Mus musculus: one gene and its partners. The protein of the gene in region 2 interacts with the protein of the main gene of each other region in a pairwise test. Links are inferred from orthologs where the notes say so. Each region holds a gene or a part of one and is shown on either strand. Other genes may lie near its edges. The genes, in order: Plxnb3, Arhgef11, Plxnb2 and Plxnb1.

What was found.
Region 1: the proteins of Arhgef11 (region 2) and Plxnb3 interact in a two-hybrid assay, tested with the Homo sapiens proteins (2 studies listed by BioGRID and IntAct). The link is inferred for Mus musculus from reciprocal best matches to the Homo sapiens genes ARHGEF11 and PLXNB3.
Region 3: the proteins of Arhgef11 (region 2) and Plxnb2 interact in a two-hybrid assay, tested with the Homo sapiens proteins (2 studies listed by BioGRID). The link is inferred for Mus musculus from reciprocal best matches to the Homo sapiens genes ARHGEF11 and PLXNB2.
Region 4: the proteins of Arhgef11 (region 2) and Plxnb1 interact in a two-hybrid assay, tested with the Homo sapiens proteins (2 studies listed by BioGRID). The link is inferred for Mus musculus from reciprocal best matches to the Homo sapiens genes ARHGEF11 and PLXNB1.

What each region holds. Positions count from the first base shown.
Region 1 is NC_000086.7:73,755,762-73,759,935, forward strand, and holds the start of Plxnb3 (plexin-B3 precursor), read left to right. Parts: upstream 1-1,341; 5' UTR 1,342-1,389; intron 1,390-1,404; exon of another isoform or gene 1,405-2,761; 5' UTR 2,762-2,766; coding exon 2,767-3,822; intron 3,823-4,132; coding exon 4,133-4,174. UniProt on the Homo sapiens protein: Receptor for SEMA5A that plays a role in axon guidance, invasive growth and cell migration. Stimulates neurite outgrowth and mediates Ca(2+)/Mg(2+)-dependent cell aggregation.
Region 2 is NC_000069.6:87,735,541-87,738,592, forward strand, and holds the end of Arhgef11 (rho guanine nucleotide exchange factor 11), read left to right. Parts: coding exon 1-31; intron 32-265; coding exon 266-455; intron 456-1,382; exon of another isoform or gene 1,383-1,503; coding exon 1,504-1,562; 3' UTR 1,563-2,499; downstream 2,500-3,052. UniProt on the Homo sapiens protein: May play a role in the regulation of RhoA GTPase by guanine nucleotide-binding alpha-12 (GNA12) and alpha-13 (GNA13). Acts as guanine nucleotide exchange factor (GEF) for RhoA GTPase and may act as GTPase-activating protein (GAP) for GNA12 and GNA13.
Region 3 is NC_000081.6:89,160,228-89,163,788, reverse strand, and holds part of Plxnb2 (plexin-B2 precursor), read left to right. Parts: intron 1-418; coding exon 419-511; intron 512-784; coding exon 785-866; intron 867-880; exon of another isoform or gene 881-941; coding exon 942-1,102; intron 1,103-1,193; coding exon 1,194-1,342; intron 1,343-1,429; coding exon 1,430-1,538; intron 1,539-1,666; coding exon 1,667-1,803; intron 1,804-1,943; coding exon 1,944-2,114; intron 2,115-2,432; coding exon 2,433-2,565; intron 2,566-2,676; coding exon 2,677-2,904; intron 2,905-3,005; coding exon 3,006-3,182; intron 3,183-3,281; coding exon 3,282-3,421; intron 3,422-3,527; coding exon 3,528-3,561.
Region 4 is NC_000075.6:109,093,926-109,098,286, forward strand, and holds the start of Plxnb1 (plexin-B1 precursor), read left to right. Parts: upstream 1-1,510; 5' UTR 1,511-1,720; exon of another isoform or gene 1,721-1,907; intron 1,908-2,030; exon of another isoform or gene 2,031-2,309; intron 2,310-2,340; exon of another isoform or gene 2,341-2,889; intron 2,890-2,937; exon of another isoform or gene 2,938-4,361. UniProt on the Homo sapiens protein: Receptor for SEMA4D. Plays a role in GABAergic synapse development. Mediates SEMA4A- and SEMA4D-dependent inhibitory synapse development. Plays a role in RHOA activation and subsequent changes of the actin cytoskeleton.

The DNA of each region.
Region 1 (4,174 bases), on a different chromosome or scaffold from region 2:
CTATATGATACCTGCAGGCATGATGTCCCCCAAGGGTGTTGGCAGTGGAGCTAGGAGAGCAAGAACCAAACTTCTGACCCAAAATGAGAAAGCTGGCATCATCCTGGAATTCGGTGCAATGTAAGGAGGCTGTCTGCTTGGTTCCCCACCCCACCATCAACCAACTGGCTCAGCCAGATGGTAAGGGCCACCTGCCACTTCACCCTGAAGCTTGTTGCTACTGTGAACTAAAGAAGTAGCAAAGAGGTTGGGGATTTAGCTCAGTGGTAGAGCGCTTGCCTAGCAAGCGCAAGGCCCTGGGTTCGGTCCTCAGCTCTGGGAAAAACAAAAACAAAAACAAAAAACAACAACAACAACAAAAAAACAAGTAGCAAAGACTCTAAAGCAAGTAAAAGTGTCCCTGTACAATGGGCCCTTAGGCTAGTTGGCCCCCAAGGTGCCCTATGAGAGCAGCAAGGGAGCCAGCTGCTACTGGCACTCCCTTCCCTCCTATGGTGGAAGGATCCAGACCCATCCGGAAGGACCTTCTGGTCCTATGTCTGAAGCCCAGGGCTCAATCCTGGCAAAGTCCCCTGTGGTCTCCCTGCCTCAGCCCCTCCCATGCATTATCCTCTTCTGATTTTCCCCACTACCATTCTGTACCTGGCACAGCTTTGCCAGTCCTTGGGGGTAGGACTGGGTGGGGACAATCTTCTCTCAAGCCAGTAGGCGGGGGAGAAGGTCTTTGCCATGAGCTGTCTTTGTCAGTGCCTCCTCTGCCTTAGCCTGGACAAAGACAGGCATTGACAGCTGGCACTAGCACTTCAGCCAGGACCAAGGCTACTGACACTGAGGCTGAGGCTGTCATTTCAGGGGCTCAGTGCCTTTGGCCCTGTGGTGGGGGCTTAAGGGCTACCCAGTGCTCTTTACGGAGACCCAGAGAAACTCAGGGAGGGAGCACTCTGCACTGGCACAGGAGTTGTGAACCACATGGGGAAAATTGGCTCAAGGAAACCCTGTCCTTTTGTCTCTACATCCCAGGGGGTTTCTCCCTGGAGATGGGGAGTGGCAGGGAGCTCCCTGGCTAGAACAGCCAGAGTGGGGGTAAGAACACCAGATAGCAGGTCCCTGGCCTGGGCCTCTGGACAGAGGGGACATTGTTGGGGTGGAGGCAGGGCTGCCTTGGCCAGGCCACTATTGACAAAGCTGCCAGCTGTGGTGGAGCCCGATCTCCAGGCCCTTGCCCCCTCCCCTGCCTCCTTCCTCCCCCAGGGCCACCATGAATGGGGCTGAGCCTCAACTGTCTCCCTCCCACTCAGGACAATGCCCCCCACAGCCATCTTGTGCCCGTCGCCACTGCCCTGAGGCAGCTGATGTGAGGAGACCCCATTTCTGCACTCCGTAGTGGTGGTAAGTGTCTGGGCCCTATGTCCCCCAAGGTGTCCCAAAGAGATGTAGAGAGGGATAAATTTGGCTGGACTAGGGCACAGAGCAGTCTTGCAGGGAGCTTCCATCTCCTCTGCGTTTTTGGGTAACAACTCCCATCTCCTCCATTACACACACCCACCTCTGTCACAGCGATACATGGGCACTAGAGAAAAGTATATTTCCTGTCTGTGCTCTTGAGATAAGGGGACTTGGGGTCTTTTTGAGTAGCAGTGGGTGGCTTCTGGTGGGCACATGACTAACTGTGATGATCCCAACTCAGTTCAGGAACTGTCACCAGCTCCTGCCCTCTTTCTAGAGCTCTACGCAGGGTTAAATCTGTCTGGATGTCACCTAGTTAGGCAGTTGGTCAGTGGCTGCTGCTGACTGCTCTTGGAGGAGAGCTGGGGACTGGCACCTGTCCTCAGTGCCTCAGACTCAAGGTCCTCTCCACTCACCTGGAGCTACCTCTATCCTACTTCCCTTCTCTCTGATCTTTCATGGCTCTTCTCATCAGTGCTCCTACATTGAGGACCCTTCTAAAACTAGGTTTCCACAGACTCTAGATGCTGGGGTCCATCACTCTTGTACTCTGAGTTGCCTCCTAGTGCCTCACAGTTCCCCTAGAACCATCTAGGCTGGCTCAAAGCTCTCCTACCACCTCTATACTGGCCACCCAGTAGTGGTCTAAAGCCCTGGCCCTGGCCACCTATTCATTACTGTTTTGGGAGTAGTGTGCCTATGTCTAGCTGCATCTTGGCCGGAAGCCAAAGCTCTTCTTGGTTGTCTTGTCCAGTTAGTGAAGGTTCCTATATGAAGCTGGTTCTGACTGTATAGAGTGGGTTTTCTGTCCCTGTCCCTTTTGCCATGGGTATCCTGTCTTTACATGTGATGATCTGGCTTCTCTTATCATCATGTCTTTTTGTCTAGGTGACAGTATCTAGTTGCCCGCAGACACGACTTCCTTTTTCCATTTCCCTCCCTTTTCCTGCCCTTGTCACTCAGAATTCCTCTGTCATGCCTTTATAGCTTCTCAGGATCTGTCCTCTTTCTAGTCTACATGCAAATAAAGCAGAAGATGAAAAAATTATTTCCTTGTGTGTGTCCTCATCTCCATCCTGTCTCTTTCTCTATCTATAGGACACTTTCTTTGTCTTTTCTGTCCTCTTCCTGGCTGCCTCCCTCTAAGTACCCCCACCCTTCCTCTCTTCCTCTCTCTTCCTCCCCTCCTTCCCCTGTCTCTCTAGCCTCTTTTGCCTTCCTCTGGTAATGTCTCTTTCCTAGTTTAGCTCCCATTCTTTCCCTTGCCCACTTCTGCCTGTTGAAGAATGAAGCATTTTTAGCATTCTCCCATCAGGTCTTATGCTGACTGACTTCCTCCAGGCTCCTGTGATGGCTCCCTGGTCTCCCTTCAGCCTCCACCTGCTGCTGCTGTTCCTGCCGCTGCTGCCTTTGACCAGGGTCCATCGCTTCTCTGTACCAAATACCAGCTTCAACCACCTGGTGCTGGCACCAGATCAGGGCAAACTCTACGTGGGTGCAGTGAATCACCTCTTTCAGCTCAGCCCTGAGCTGAAGATGGAGTCTGTGGCTGTCACTGGCCCTGTCATTGACAGTCCTGATTGTGTGCCTTTCCGTGACCTGGCTGAGTGCCCACAGGCCCAGCTCACTGACAATGCCAACCAGCTCTTGTTGGTGAGCAGCAGGACACAGGAACTGGTGGCTTGTGGGCAAGTGAAGCAGGGTGTATGTGAGAAGCGGCGCCTTGGGGATGTGACTCAAGTGTTGTACCAGGCTGAGGACCCTGGTGATGGGCAGTTTGTGGCTGCCAATACCCTGGGAGTGACCACAGTAGGCCTAGTGGTGCCCTTGCCAGGCCGAGACCTCCTGCTAGTGGCCAGAGGCCTGGCAGGCAAGCTGTCAGCAGGAGTGCCACCCCTAACTGTGCGCCAGCTGGCTGGGCCACAGCCTTTCTCCAGTGAAGGACTGGGAAGACTTGTGGTCGGTGACTTTTCAGACTACAACAATAGCTATGTAGGAGCTTTTTCTGATGCTCACTCTGCCTACTTTGTGTTCCGTCGCCGTGGGGCTCGGGCCCAGACTGAGTATCGCTCCTATGTAGCTCGTGTCTGCCTCAGAGATGTCAACCTTTATTCCTATGTGGAAATGCCACTTACCTGCCATGGCCAGGGCCTTATCCAGGCTGCCTTCCTTACTCCAGACACTTTGCTAGGTGCATTTTCAGCAGGCACAAGTCAGGCACAGGCGGCCCTGTGTGCCTTTCCCTTAGCTGACCTGGACAGGAGTATGGAACAAGCCAGGCGACTTTGCTATACTACTGGTGGTCAGGGTCCTAGCGGCATGGAAGAAGCCACTGTGGAGTATGGTGTCACATCCCGTTGCGTCACTTTGCCTCCTGTGAGTGGTGAGAGCCTGGCTCCCAAATTTTGATTGGGGGTTCTATCTTCACTTTCTGTGCCTTGCCCTGCTTTGCCAGCCCTCTCCCTCTGTGACATGGGACAGAGTACTCTCCAGGAATAGCTACTGGTTCACCTCTTAGCTGAGTATATCAATAGGTAGCAGTTGGCTGTCTCGAAACTCTGATCTGCTCTCAGCCTTCCAATTCTTCCTAATCCCTTTCTCACTGACTGTGGGGTGTCCTCTGTTCCCAGGGGAGTGCCTACCCACTCCCTCCTGAAAACTGATTCTCTACACCTTGCCTATCTAGGACTCCCCCGAGTCATACCCCTGTGGTGATGAACACACCCCC
Region 2 (3,052 bases):
GCAACTGACCGTCAAGCTTCACAGACTCAAGGTGAGGGGTGCAGCCTTGGGGCAGGAAGCCGTCCATCCAGTACCCGGGACAGTTCCCCGAGAGGGAAACTGATAGAAATTTGAGACGAGGGCCTCACACAAGCTAGACAAACATTAAGCTCCATCCCCAACTCAGGAAGTATATCTCTTCAACTGGAGTCCTATGCTACCCTGCGTACCCTCCCGCACCCTCTGAGCCTTAGCACAGGGAAGACACCTCCTTCAACTCTTGTAGGACATGGAGCTGGCCCACAGAGAGCTGCTCAACTCCCTTGGAGGAGAGTCGTCTGGTGGAACCACTCCTGTGGGAAGTTTTCACACAGAGGCAGCCAGATGGACAGACTACTCCCTCTCTCCTCCAGCCAAGGAAGCCCTGACCTCTGACCCCCAAAACAATCAGGAGCAGGGGTCCTACCCTGAAGAAGGTGAGTGAAGCCAACCCCTGCATGTGCTGCCTGAGGGAATGCTGTGAACCAGGAGTAAGTGTGAGCAGGTAGTGGGCCGTGCTCCCATGACTCTTCCCTAAGAAAGAGCAAGCACATTCCCTCAGCTTCACAGAGAAAGTTTGCCAGGCACAGTGCTGTGCCTTTAATCCCAACACCCAGGAAACAGATGCAGCTGAATTTCTGTGAGTTGGAGGTATATAGTTCCAGGCCGGGAGGGGGGAGTCTGTCAGAGAACAACTTCAGTTGTCCGTTCTTGCCTTCCACCCTGAGGCAGCATCTATGTTCACCGCTAGATGAGCCAGGCTGGCCGGCCCACCCACCAGTTTGTTCTCCTGTGTCCTGTTTCTAGGTGTTCTGATTATCCATTGAACTCTCTCCAGCCCCAGAAAGTGATCTTTATAGGCAAGCTACACAGAGACTCCCCCCCAAATAGGGACTAGTAGTACAGAACCTCTTGCCTGCATGTAAGTCTGTATATCACATACATGCAGTACCAAAGGATGCCAGAAGAGGACTGAAACTGGAGTTATAGGTGGTTGTGAGCTGCCATGTGGGTGATGGGAATTGAACCTGGGCGCTCTGGGAGAGTAGAAAGTATTCTTAACCACTGAGCCATCTCTCAGCCCCCAGAACCTTCTATTTATGTTGGTTTGAGGAAGTAATGTACCAGGAAAGCCGCCTTACCTCTGCAGCAGGTTCTTAGTGGCTCAGACCTGGGTTATAAGGGCAAGGACCGAATTCAGAAAGCTAAAACGCCTAACCTGTCTTGGTTTTGGCGCCTGGAAAGAAATGCAGTCCCACAGGAAACAAGGCTTGGACTGACAAGATGGCTCACCAAGCCTGACCATCTGAGTTCGAGCCCCAGGATTCACATGGAAGGAGAGAACCGACTCCAACAAGTTGTCTAGCTTCCACACACTCTATTACATATAAGCTTTGTCACAGCTGGCACTCAAGAATCAGCCAGGGACATGAAAGAGAACCTCTCAAATGTAGCCAGCGTCTCACCCTCACCATCTTCCCACAGGCTCCGACACCCCCCTGGAAGACAGTGCCACAGACACAGCTTCGTCACCAGGACCATAGCCATCCAGACAACCAGAGTCTGGCCTGAGCCAGAGCGCCACATTAGGAGATCCGAGCCTCCCCGTGAAAGATACTGTGAGGCCTGGGAATCCCTCATGTTGCCTGGTCTGTTCCCACCAGACAGTCCAGTTTAGTGTCTCTTCCTCCTGTTAGCCCAAGTCTCCGTGGCTTTCGTCTCCTAAGCATGCTGACCACAATAGAAAGGCCTCCACCCCACATAGCCAGTGTGGGGTGTGCTATGTGCACAGTGCCCTTGAGGAGGCTTATGTATAAATGCACTTTCTTCCTCCTCTTCTTCCTAGGCCCCGAGACAGCTAGATGCCTGGCTCTCCTCTTTGCCCTTTAGTTTCCTATAAATATGTCTATTGTATGTGTATCTTTGCCATTGTAAATAACTTAGCCTTTTATTCTGTCCCTGGCATGTTCAACCAGTCACAGAGAGCCAGGCAGCAGCCCCGCACAGGGCCATGATTGTTTATGTCCCACTGGCAGGGAGGTCTCCCAGATTCCAGTGCTGTCAAGCTCCAGGGCCTGCCCACCTCTGAAGCCTAGGCCTTCTCAGTGTCAGGAAATGCTCCTGCAGGGAGTGTCTTACCCAGCCCTTCCCCACTTGCCCCATAGAAACAATACACCAGGTACGGATCTCAACACAGACTCTCAAGAGAGATGTGGAGTGGATTGCTGGAGTCCCTGAGTTAAGTCAGGGCCCTTCCTTCCCCAGGGGCCACAGCACCGTTGGCTCATCACCCTGTCCTCACGCCACTCCCTACAATGAACATACACACTGTGCTAGGTGTATATATACATATATATAAATATATATAATATATAAAATATAGATATGGAAATGACTGTTTTACTGTTAAAATAATGTATACTCTTATTTTCTTCCTTTCATGGTTAAGATTTTTTTAAAGAAAAGTTAAATATTCTTCCATTGTGGTTGTATGATTCTTAGCCTGATAGAGGGTGTGAGGCTGCCGGTGTGACCGGTCAAAAATGGGTAGAGGGAGACAAGAAAGCCCCTGCCACAGCCATCCTGCACCAGGTCTTTCCACCTGTCCCAAAGTGCCGGTGTGTAGACCTTCTCAGCAGAGGTTGGACAACTGGCTCTGGCCCAGAAAAGGACATTGTGGTTACGTCACACGAAGGAACAGGGCTGCTGTGACCTACTCTCAGATGCAAACCATGAAGAGGGTTACCACACTGCCCTCCTTCCCACAGACCAGGAAGAGCCATGGCAGCTGAGCCATGCCTTAGAGGACCTGGGACATAACTGGAAAAGCCATGGTGCACCTTAACACAGTGACTGAGACTCAGAGCAGCCGGAGAGATCCCCAGAGCCACTTGCCAGCCGGGGCTGGAGCTCTGGAAGGTAGAGGAGGGGCTAGAGATGAGGGAGAGTTACCTTGGTTGGAGATTCCCTGGAGGTTGGCATGGGCTCTCCAGAACCCTCAGCAGAGGCAGCCCTGCTCTGGATGTCCATGATT
Region 3 (3,561 bases), on a different chromosome or scaffold from region 2:
AACGACCAACAACTACCAGCCCTCACCTCTCAGGGCTCTGGCATCTATAAGACTCCCCAGAAAGTTCCCAGAATTCCAAGCGTTACACAATCGCAGAAAATACTCCACAGCTGGCAAACTGTGCCTCTGCTAGAGCACGAGGCAAATCATAGTCAGCTGCTATGGACAGTCCAAAGCAGCCCCACATGTGGGACTAAAACGAAAGCACACTCTTACAATAGTCCTGTGTGGTTTAAAGAAACCAAAATGCCATAATTGTTGCTACAGAGGGAGGCAAAGGGTCTTCGGAGGCACCCGAGCATGGGGCAGACTAGGTGGTGGGGTATTTCGGGAGCTTCTGGAGATACAGATTCTATGCCCCCAGAGGGCAGAACAGTTAGCCAGCTTGAGTAGAAAATGCTGACTGGACTCTCCACAGGTTTCTTCCCTGTATGTGGGCAGTGAGCTGCTGAATTTTGAAGAGACTGTGACCATGCATGAATCAGACACCTTCTCTTTTAGGACCCCAAAGGTACCACTGCTTGTCTTAAGGGCTGGAGGGTAGTGGGTATTACCCCTAGCACTGGAGCCTAGCCTAGCCTCCTGCCCTGTGCCTTGTGGTCTCCAAGCATCTCTGCCTATGTCCCTGAACAAACTCATGGTCCCATGGTGTGTGTGTGTCTGACTCTTCCCCAGTCCCTGCCTACCTGGCAACCATCACTGACTTTGGGCAATTGAGAGATTCCCATGGCTTTTGGTGTCAGAGGGACAGAAAGTACAGTTTGTCCCTGTGTGTCCCATGCAGCTATCCCATGATGGTAATGAGACACTGCCTCTTCACCTGTATGTTAAGTCCTTTGGCAAGAACATTGACAGCAAGCTACAAGGTAGGGGGTGGGTGGGGTCTGGGGAAGGCGGGAGAGGGAACAGAACAACAGCTAACTCTACGTCCTCCTCCACAGTGACTCTCTACAACTGCTCCTTTGGCCGCAGTGACTGTAGCCTGTGTCTGGCTGCCGATCCTGCCTACAGGTGTGTGTGGTGCCGTGGGCAGAACCGGTGCGTGTACGAAGCTCTGTGCAGCAATGTCACTTCTGAGTGCCCACCACCAGTTATCACTAGGGTGAGTTTTGTCACCGTCTGACCTGTACCCCCATACCCCCTTCACGTTCACCCACCCAAGCCACTCATGCACCCGGCTCTGCTGATTTCAGATCCAGCCTGAGACGGGCCCGCTGGGTGGGGGCATCCTGGTCACTATCCATGGGTCCAATCTGGGTGTCAAAGCAGATGACGTCAAGAAGATAACTGTGGCTGGCCAGAACTGTGCCTTTGAACCAAGAGGGTACTCCGTATCCACCCGGTGAGTGAACTCCGAGCAGCCTGGGCTCCTAGCAGCTGAACAGATGCAGCAGTGATAATGAGCTGACACCTGCCTGTCTGTCACCAGGATTGTGTGTGCAATTGAGGCTTCGGAGATGCCCTTCACAGGAGGCATTGAGGTGGATGTTAATGGAAAACTCGGCCATTCACCGCCACACGTCCAGTTCACTTATCAAGTAAGTGCCTGACTGAGCTGTGTTGTCCAGCCTCTGCTGCCCACCCCAGCAAGTTGGCATCTAACGATAATCACTCTCCAGTGACCCCTGAGTCCTTGGCCCTAACTATGCATGTGTGTTGCTCTCAGCAACCCCAGCCTCTCAGTGTGGAGCCACGACAGGGGCCACAGGCAGGTGGCACCACATTGACCATCAATGGCACTCACCTGGACACAGGCTCCAAGGAGGATGTGCGGGTGACACTCAATGACGTCCCTTGTGAAGTGTATGTGTCGCCCATGGCTGCTGAGCTCGCCTGGCTCTGGGGAGAGGGTGGGAAGACCTGAGTCTGCCTTGGGGGGTGGGGTTGGGGGTGAGGGGGCAGTGGAACTGGCTTGATGGACTGACAGGTACCTCCCACCCTAGGACAAAGTTTGGAGCACAGCTACAGTGTGTCACAGGTCAACAGTTGGCTCCAGGCCAGGTGACACTAGAAATCTACTATGGGGGCTCCAGAGTGCCCAGCCCCGGCATCTCTTTCACCTACTGCGAGAACCCCATGATACGAGCCTTTGAGCCATTGAGAAGCTTTGTCAGGTGCGGCCTCTCCCCTTTCTGGCTAGTGCCCTCCCCACCCCCGCCCGCTGACCTGAGGAATGTGGCAGAACTGGGCTGGGCAGGGCAGGAGGAGAGATCTTCTGGAAAACCCCACTGCACTCTGATGGGCTTCCTCCTTAGAACTGAGATGGCAGGGTCAGAGCAGGGCCACTTCCCCGACTTAACTCGCCTCTCCCTCTGATGCACATTTACCACCCTGCCATGCCACTTCCTGCCTGGGGTATAACTAGTAAGAGTGGAAGCTCGAAGCTGACTGAGCTGAACTCACTGAAGCATGCCCCTCCTCAACCCCCCCAGTGGTGGCCGGAGCATCAACGTTACTGGCCAGGGCTTCAGCCTCATCCAGAAGTTTGCCATGGTTGTCATCGCTGAGCCCTTGCGGTCCTGGAGGCGGCGGCGGCGGGAGGCTGGAGCCCTGGAGCGTGTGACGGTCAGTCCTGGCTTGGGGGTGGTGGGGGCTCAGTTCTAATGGGGACAGGGGCAGCTGGGAAGCAGGAGGGAGGAGCAAGATCTTCATCAAGTTTTGGGACCCTTTCCACAGGTCGAGGGCATGGAGTACGTGTTCTACAACGACACCAAGGTCGTCTTCTTGTCTCCTGCTGTCCCCGAAGAGCCCGAGGCTTACAACCTCACCGTGCTGATACGGATGGACGGTCACTGTGCCCCGCTCAGGACCGAAGCCGGAGTCTTTGAGTATGTGGCAGACCCCACCTTTGAGAACTTCACGGGTGGCGTCAAAAAGCAGGTCAACAAGCTCATCCACGCCCGGGTAAGAAGACCCCTACGGCTGGCATGGGGTCCCGGGTCGGGCGGGGCAGGGGCTCACGCTGATCACGCTGATCATTCCTCCGTCACCCATCCCCCCTCCAGGGAACCAATCTGAACAAAGCCATGACTCTGGAGGAGGCAGAGGCATTTGTGGGTGCTGAGCGTTGCATTATGAAGACGCTGACCGAGACGGACCTGTACTGCGAGCCCCCAGAGGTGCAGCCTCCACCCAAGCGGCGGCAGAAGCGAGACACGGCACACAACCTACCTGAGTTCATTGTGCGTGAGAGCGGGAGGGCTGTGGAGGGCCTGGGGAGCCTCTCAGGAGAAGCCGCCGCCGCCCACACCTGCCTGCGCTGAGCCCTAGCTTCCACACAGGTGAAGTTTGGCTCCCGAGAGTGGGTGCTAGGCCGAGTGGAGTACGACACGCGTGCGAGTGACGTGCCGCTCAGTCTCATCCTGCCTCTGGTCATGGTACCCATGGTGTTTATCATCGTGGTCTCCATCTACTGCTACTGGTGAGTCCTGCCCCCGGTAAGGCTCCCCTCATCCCTCCCGCATCAGCATCAGCGCTTCTGACCGTCATAGCTGACTGATACCAGAGAGCCGTTCAATGCCCCACAGGAGGAAGAGCCAGCAGGCCGAGCGCGAGTACGAG
Region 4 (4,361 bases), on a different chromosome or scaffold from region 2:
GAACTCAAGCAGGGCCAGAACCTCGTGGAGGGGTGCCGCTTACTGCTCAGTATGCTTTCTTACAGAACCCAGGGCTACCAGCCCAGGGGGGCCCCACCCTCAATGGACTGGGACCGCCCCTGTCAATCACTAATTAAGAAGATGCCCTACAGGGGGATCTTATGGAGCGATTTCTCCACTGAAGTTCATTCTTTCAGATAACTCAAGCTTCTGTCAAGTTGACATAAATCAAGCCAGCACCCCACCCCCACCCCACCCCACGGGAGTCTGAGGGTGTGATGGTAGAGCAGCCTGGCATCAGCCCTTAGTGAAGTGGCAGATACGGAAGACGGCTTCCCCCGATTTAGAGCCCTCTAACCTTAGAGGCTTCCAGGTGACGTATATGCAGTTTTTCCCTTTCTGGACACTATGCCAATGGCCTTGAGCCAAAGTCCTTCAAAAGCCCTCAGGATGGGTCAGGTCCTGGCTCCACAGATTGCCATTGGCAAGCCCGGGTGTGAACCGCCCTGCATAAAGCCCTCAGGAGAGAACCTCTGCCCAGGGTTTCCTTCCCAGAAAGACCCAGGTGTTTTCCAAGGAGGGAGTCCAGACTTGCTCAAGGCTTCTGAGTTCTGCATGGCTCCAGGTACAGGCCGTGGAGGAGGGAAGGAAATAAGACCCTACTTCTGCACCTCACAGCCAGTATGCCCTGCTTACACAGTTCAGCTTTGGTGGTATTACCCCCTATTAGTCAGGGAGCAAAAAGGTCGGGGTGTGTGTGTGTGGGGGGGGAAGGGGTGTCAGGTTACATGGCTTAGTGATGGCGCAAACTCAGGTCCAAAGCCCGGGCTCTCTTCAAACAGCCAGGGGTGGGGGCCGGAAGGAGAGGTTGGGTGTTGTGGAGTATTGAAAGAAGGAAAGGTGGGCAGGGCCAGGTGAGAAGAGGAGAAGCTGGCGTCTAGGAGACCAGGTGAAGAAAGTTGGGGGGAGAGGATGGCTCCAAGGGCCGGGATCTAGAAGGGAATGAGGGCGCTCCGGGCGCTGGGCGAGGTGCGTTGGGGATAGTCAAGATGGTGGTTATGGAACAGGCAGAGCAGGTGTGGGGCACAAGTCCCTCGAACTCTGGCAGGACGGGGAAAGGCTCCAGTGCTGTATCTCAACGCCCAGGTAATAAGGCTCGCAACCATGGCCGTAGCCTCTTGGTCCTAAGCGGCGCGCAGGTGAGGCCCGGCTGGGCGGGGCGGACCGCCCACGCTCCCGGCTCCGCTCCTCACCCTACACGTCTGCGTTGCCATGACTACCGCCCGGGCGCTGCAGCCCCCATTTAATGAGAGGGGTTGATCACCCCCCCAGGCCCTTCACAAACTCGGATCCCGCGGGACCGGAATGCGGGGTCCCGGATGGCTGGGGCCGCGTACCCCGTTCTCCCGGCAGCTTCCGGCCTGGTCCGGGCGGCGCGCGGGGGGAGGGCGGCCCGACGGGCGGGGGGTGGGGGGGTGGAAGGAGCGGAGCCCGGGCCGGCCGACGCGGCTTTGTCTCCTTTGTTCCCAGCGGAGGCAGCGCCGCGGCGGGAGGGGCGGGCGGCGGGCGCAGTTTTTTCCGCCCCTCGGTCTCCGGGTAACAGCTGCGGCTCCGCCAGACCCACCTCCGAGGGGAGGGAAGGCCGCCGCGCGCAGATCTGAGCTAGCCCGGAGCTGCGGGCGGACGCCTCGCCGCGCGCATCCCGCAGGAGGGTCGGGCGGTGAGTTGCGAGACTTGGGCAGGGAAGGCGGGGTTGCAGGCGAGAGCCGCGCGCACCCAGGTGGAACGGCCCGAGGCCTCGATCCCGCTGGGCACAGGCAGCCGGAGTGGTGTCTCCGGTGGGTGGCTTCGGTCCTCAGAGTTGGGACCACACTCGCGCGCGCGAAGGCAAACTCTGGCGGCACCGCCTGTAACGCGATTGGGAGACAGAGGAGGTGGAGCTGCTCCTCCGCGCCCCCTCCTCGCTGCCGCCACCGCCGCTTTCGGGACCGGCCGGCCCCTTCCCCGCCCTCCCTGGGCCACTGGTGGGGTCTTTGTCCCGTGGAGCGGCGGAGGGAGGAGGGTTGAGGATGAGTCGAAGCAAGGAAGTGGAGGCTTCCCCATAGGATAACAGATCTTTCAGGCAGAGACTGACAAAGGAGGACCACGAGCCTTTTAACACTTGGACTCTGTCTCGGTACCCACACACCCAGCCGGTGCTTGACGAGCGCCTTAATTTATGGCGGGTGTCTGGTAAATGATGGCTCCCTTCCACCCTACTCAACATCCAGACGGCAGGTGTGTAGTGCACACCACTTCACTGTCAAAAAGTAACTCTCCCTTTTAAGTGGATACTGGGATAGGGGCGGGAGTGTGGGTGGCCGAGCTCAGAAAGGGAAGGCCAGTTTCCCCCAACTCCCAGACAAGTGCAGATGTGGAAGGGGCTGAATTTGTGAGTCTTCTTGGTTGTGAGAGCAGCTGCAGGAGAGGGTTAGGTGTTGCTTGTCCTTTGCAGAAGTCAGGCAACCAGTCTTGGGCCCTGCCGTAGGGTTTCGGGGAGTGTGGGTTCTAAAGAGGCCTATGGGGCAGGCCTGGGCACAGGCAGAGTTAGTTAGACTTTGGCGATGAGCCTGGACAGCCTGAGATGTGGGGAGTTAGGGAGGAGATACTGGCAGTGCAAGTTAGGGACGTGAGGCTTGGCTCCAAATAAGCCCTAGTCCGATCATTAATAAAACTGGGCCGATTCCTCGGCTTTTGAGATGCTAAGAGGCTTGAAAGCGGAGTGTGAGCTCCATATTACCCCTCTAGTCTGGATCTCCTTGGCAGTGAAATGGGGGCTCTGTCACCATGTAGGGAACACCTGCTCTGCGTTGGGTCTGCTGGTTACTGGAGCCTTCTTATAAAAAGCAGGTACTCTCTGCCTTTAAAGAGCTCTTGTCTAGGGTGGGAGGACGGAACAGAAGAAAATGGTCTCGGGGCCCACTCATGCCAGGTACACCCCAGAGGAGTCCTTCCTCCCCTCCCACTAATGGGAAATCTGAGGCTCAGAGCCCAAGGAAGAGCAGGATAGATAGGTCAGGCCTGGTAGCTGGGCGTGTCCATTTCATCTACCACACAGGGTTACCTCCTCGGGAGCCGGAGAGGCCTCAGGAGGCTCCTCAGGGAGGTGATGGCAGGGTGTGGGAGGTAATGGGAGACAGAGGGAGTGGGCATTCCAGGCTGAGGGAACAGCCCTTGTATTGGCAGGGAGGAACAGAAGAACAAGCCTGCAGTTTAGGCTGGAACGAGGGGCATGTGTGGGGGAGGGTGTGGGGGAGAGGGTCTTGACCTTTCTCTCTTCAGCCTGAGGGTACCCCAAAAGCCTGAGTGTGTGCACTCCACTGTTGTTTAACAAAATTCCAGTGAGGTCCTCATAGGGACTAGAGATGCCTCTGTGGCGTGTAGCTGACGTCCAGTGAAATCTGTGTGCTAATGTGGAGGAGAAAAATGTCAGTCTCCTTTGTCCTTCCCTGCCCGTGGTATGCAGCCCTATGGATGTCGTTTCTTACAGAGAGTCAACCTCTGACCTGTCCACTGAGCTTTTTGGAGCCCTCACATTTCTGTGTGTTCCCCTCAACTTCAGTTTGGGGAGTGGCTTTGTTACTGCCCCTTGAGGGCTGAGAAACTTTGGCATGCAGTAGGCGCTAAGCAAATATTTACAAGCTCATGAAGCGGCAAGTGCTGGCCTCACTGTGGGACCCTGTGCCCAAGGCCCAGGGTCTGTAGCCCAAGGTGGTTGGAGAGAGTTAGGCAGAAGCAGAGAGCAGGAGATGGCTTCTGCTCTTCCAGAGGAAGAAACAAGGTAGCAGGCTTTTTAGTAGCCTGGCCTTACCACAGTCCTGGGCTTCTGGCTGGGTTCAAGACTTTCCCTGCAGCCTCCCCCCCACCCCCCCCACCCCTCAACCCCAACCCCCTTGGGTGGCAAACAGAGGCAGCCTTGTTCCTGCTCCCATAGAGCTTCCCTGTTCTCTCCACACTAAAAATGGAAACCCCCAAGCTATTTTGGGAGCCGTGCCCAGCCAGACTGGCCATGGCCCCCTGCTCCCACTGGGCTGTGACCACAGAGTCCTTGCTCCCGCCAGGCTGCTGGACCTTCCTCTCAGCCTTGTACCCAGCCTAGCTTAGGATAGGGCAGCCTCAGGAGCGCCTTGCCGCGGCCTCTGGTATATGGGCCAATCCAGGGGCAAAGAAGGGAATTCTGGGAATCTTCCACATAGACAGCCTGGCAGCTGGGTGGTGGGAGGGCCTGGGCAGTGTGGCCTGGGCACAAGGAGGGGAAAGTGTTTCTCAGTGTAGAATAGTTTGTCCCATAACCAAACTGTGTTCCTTGAGGACCACTGGAG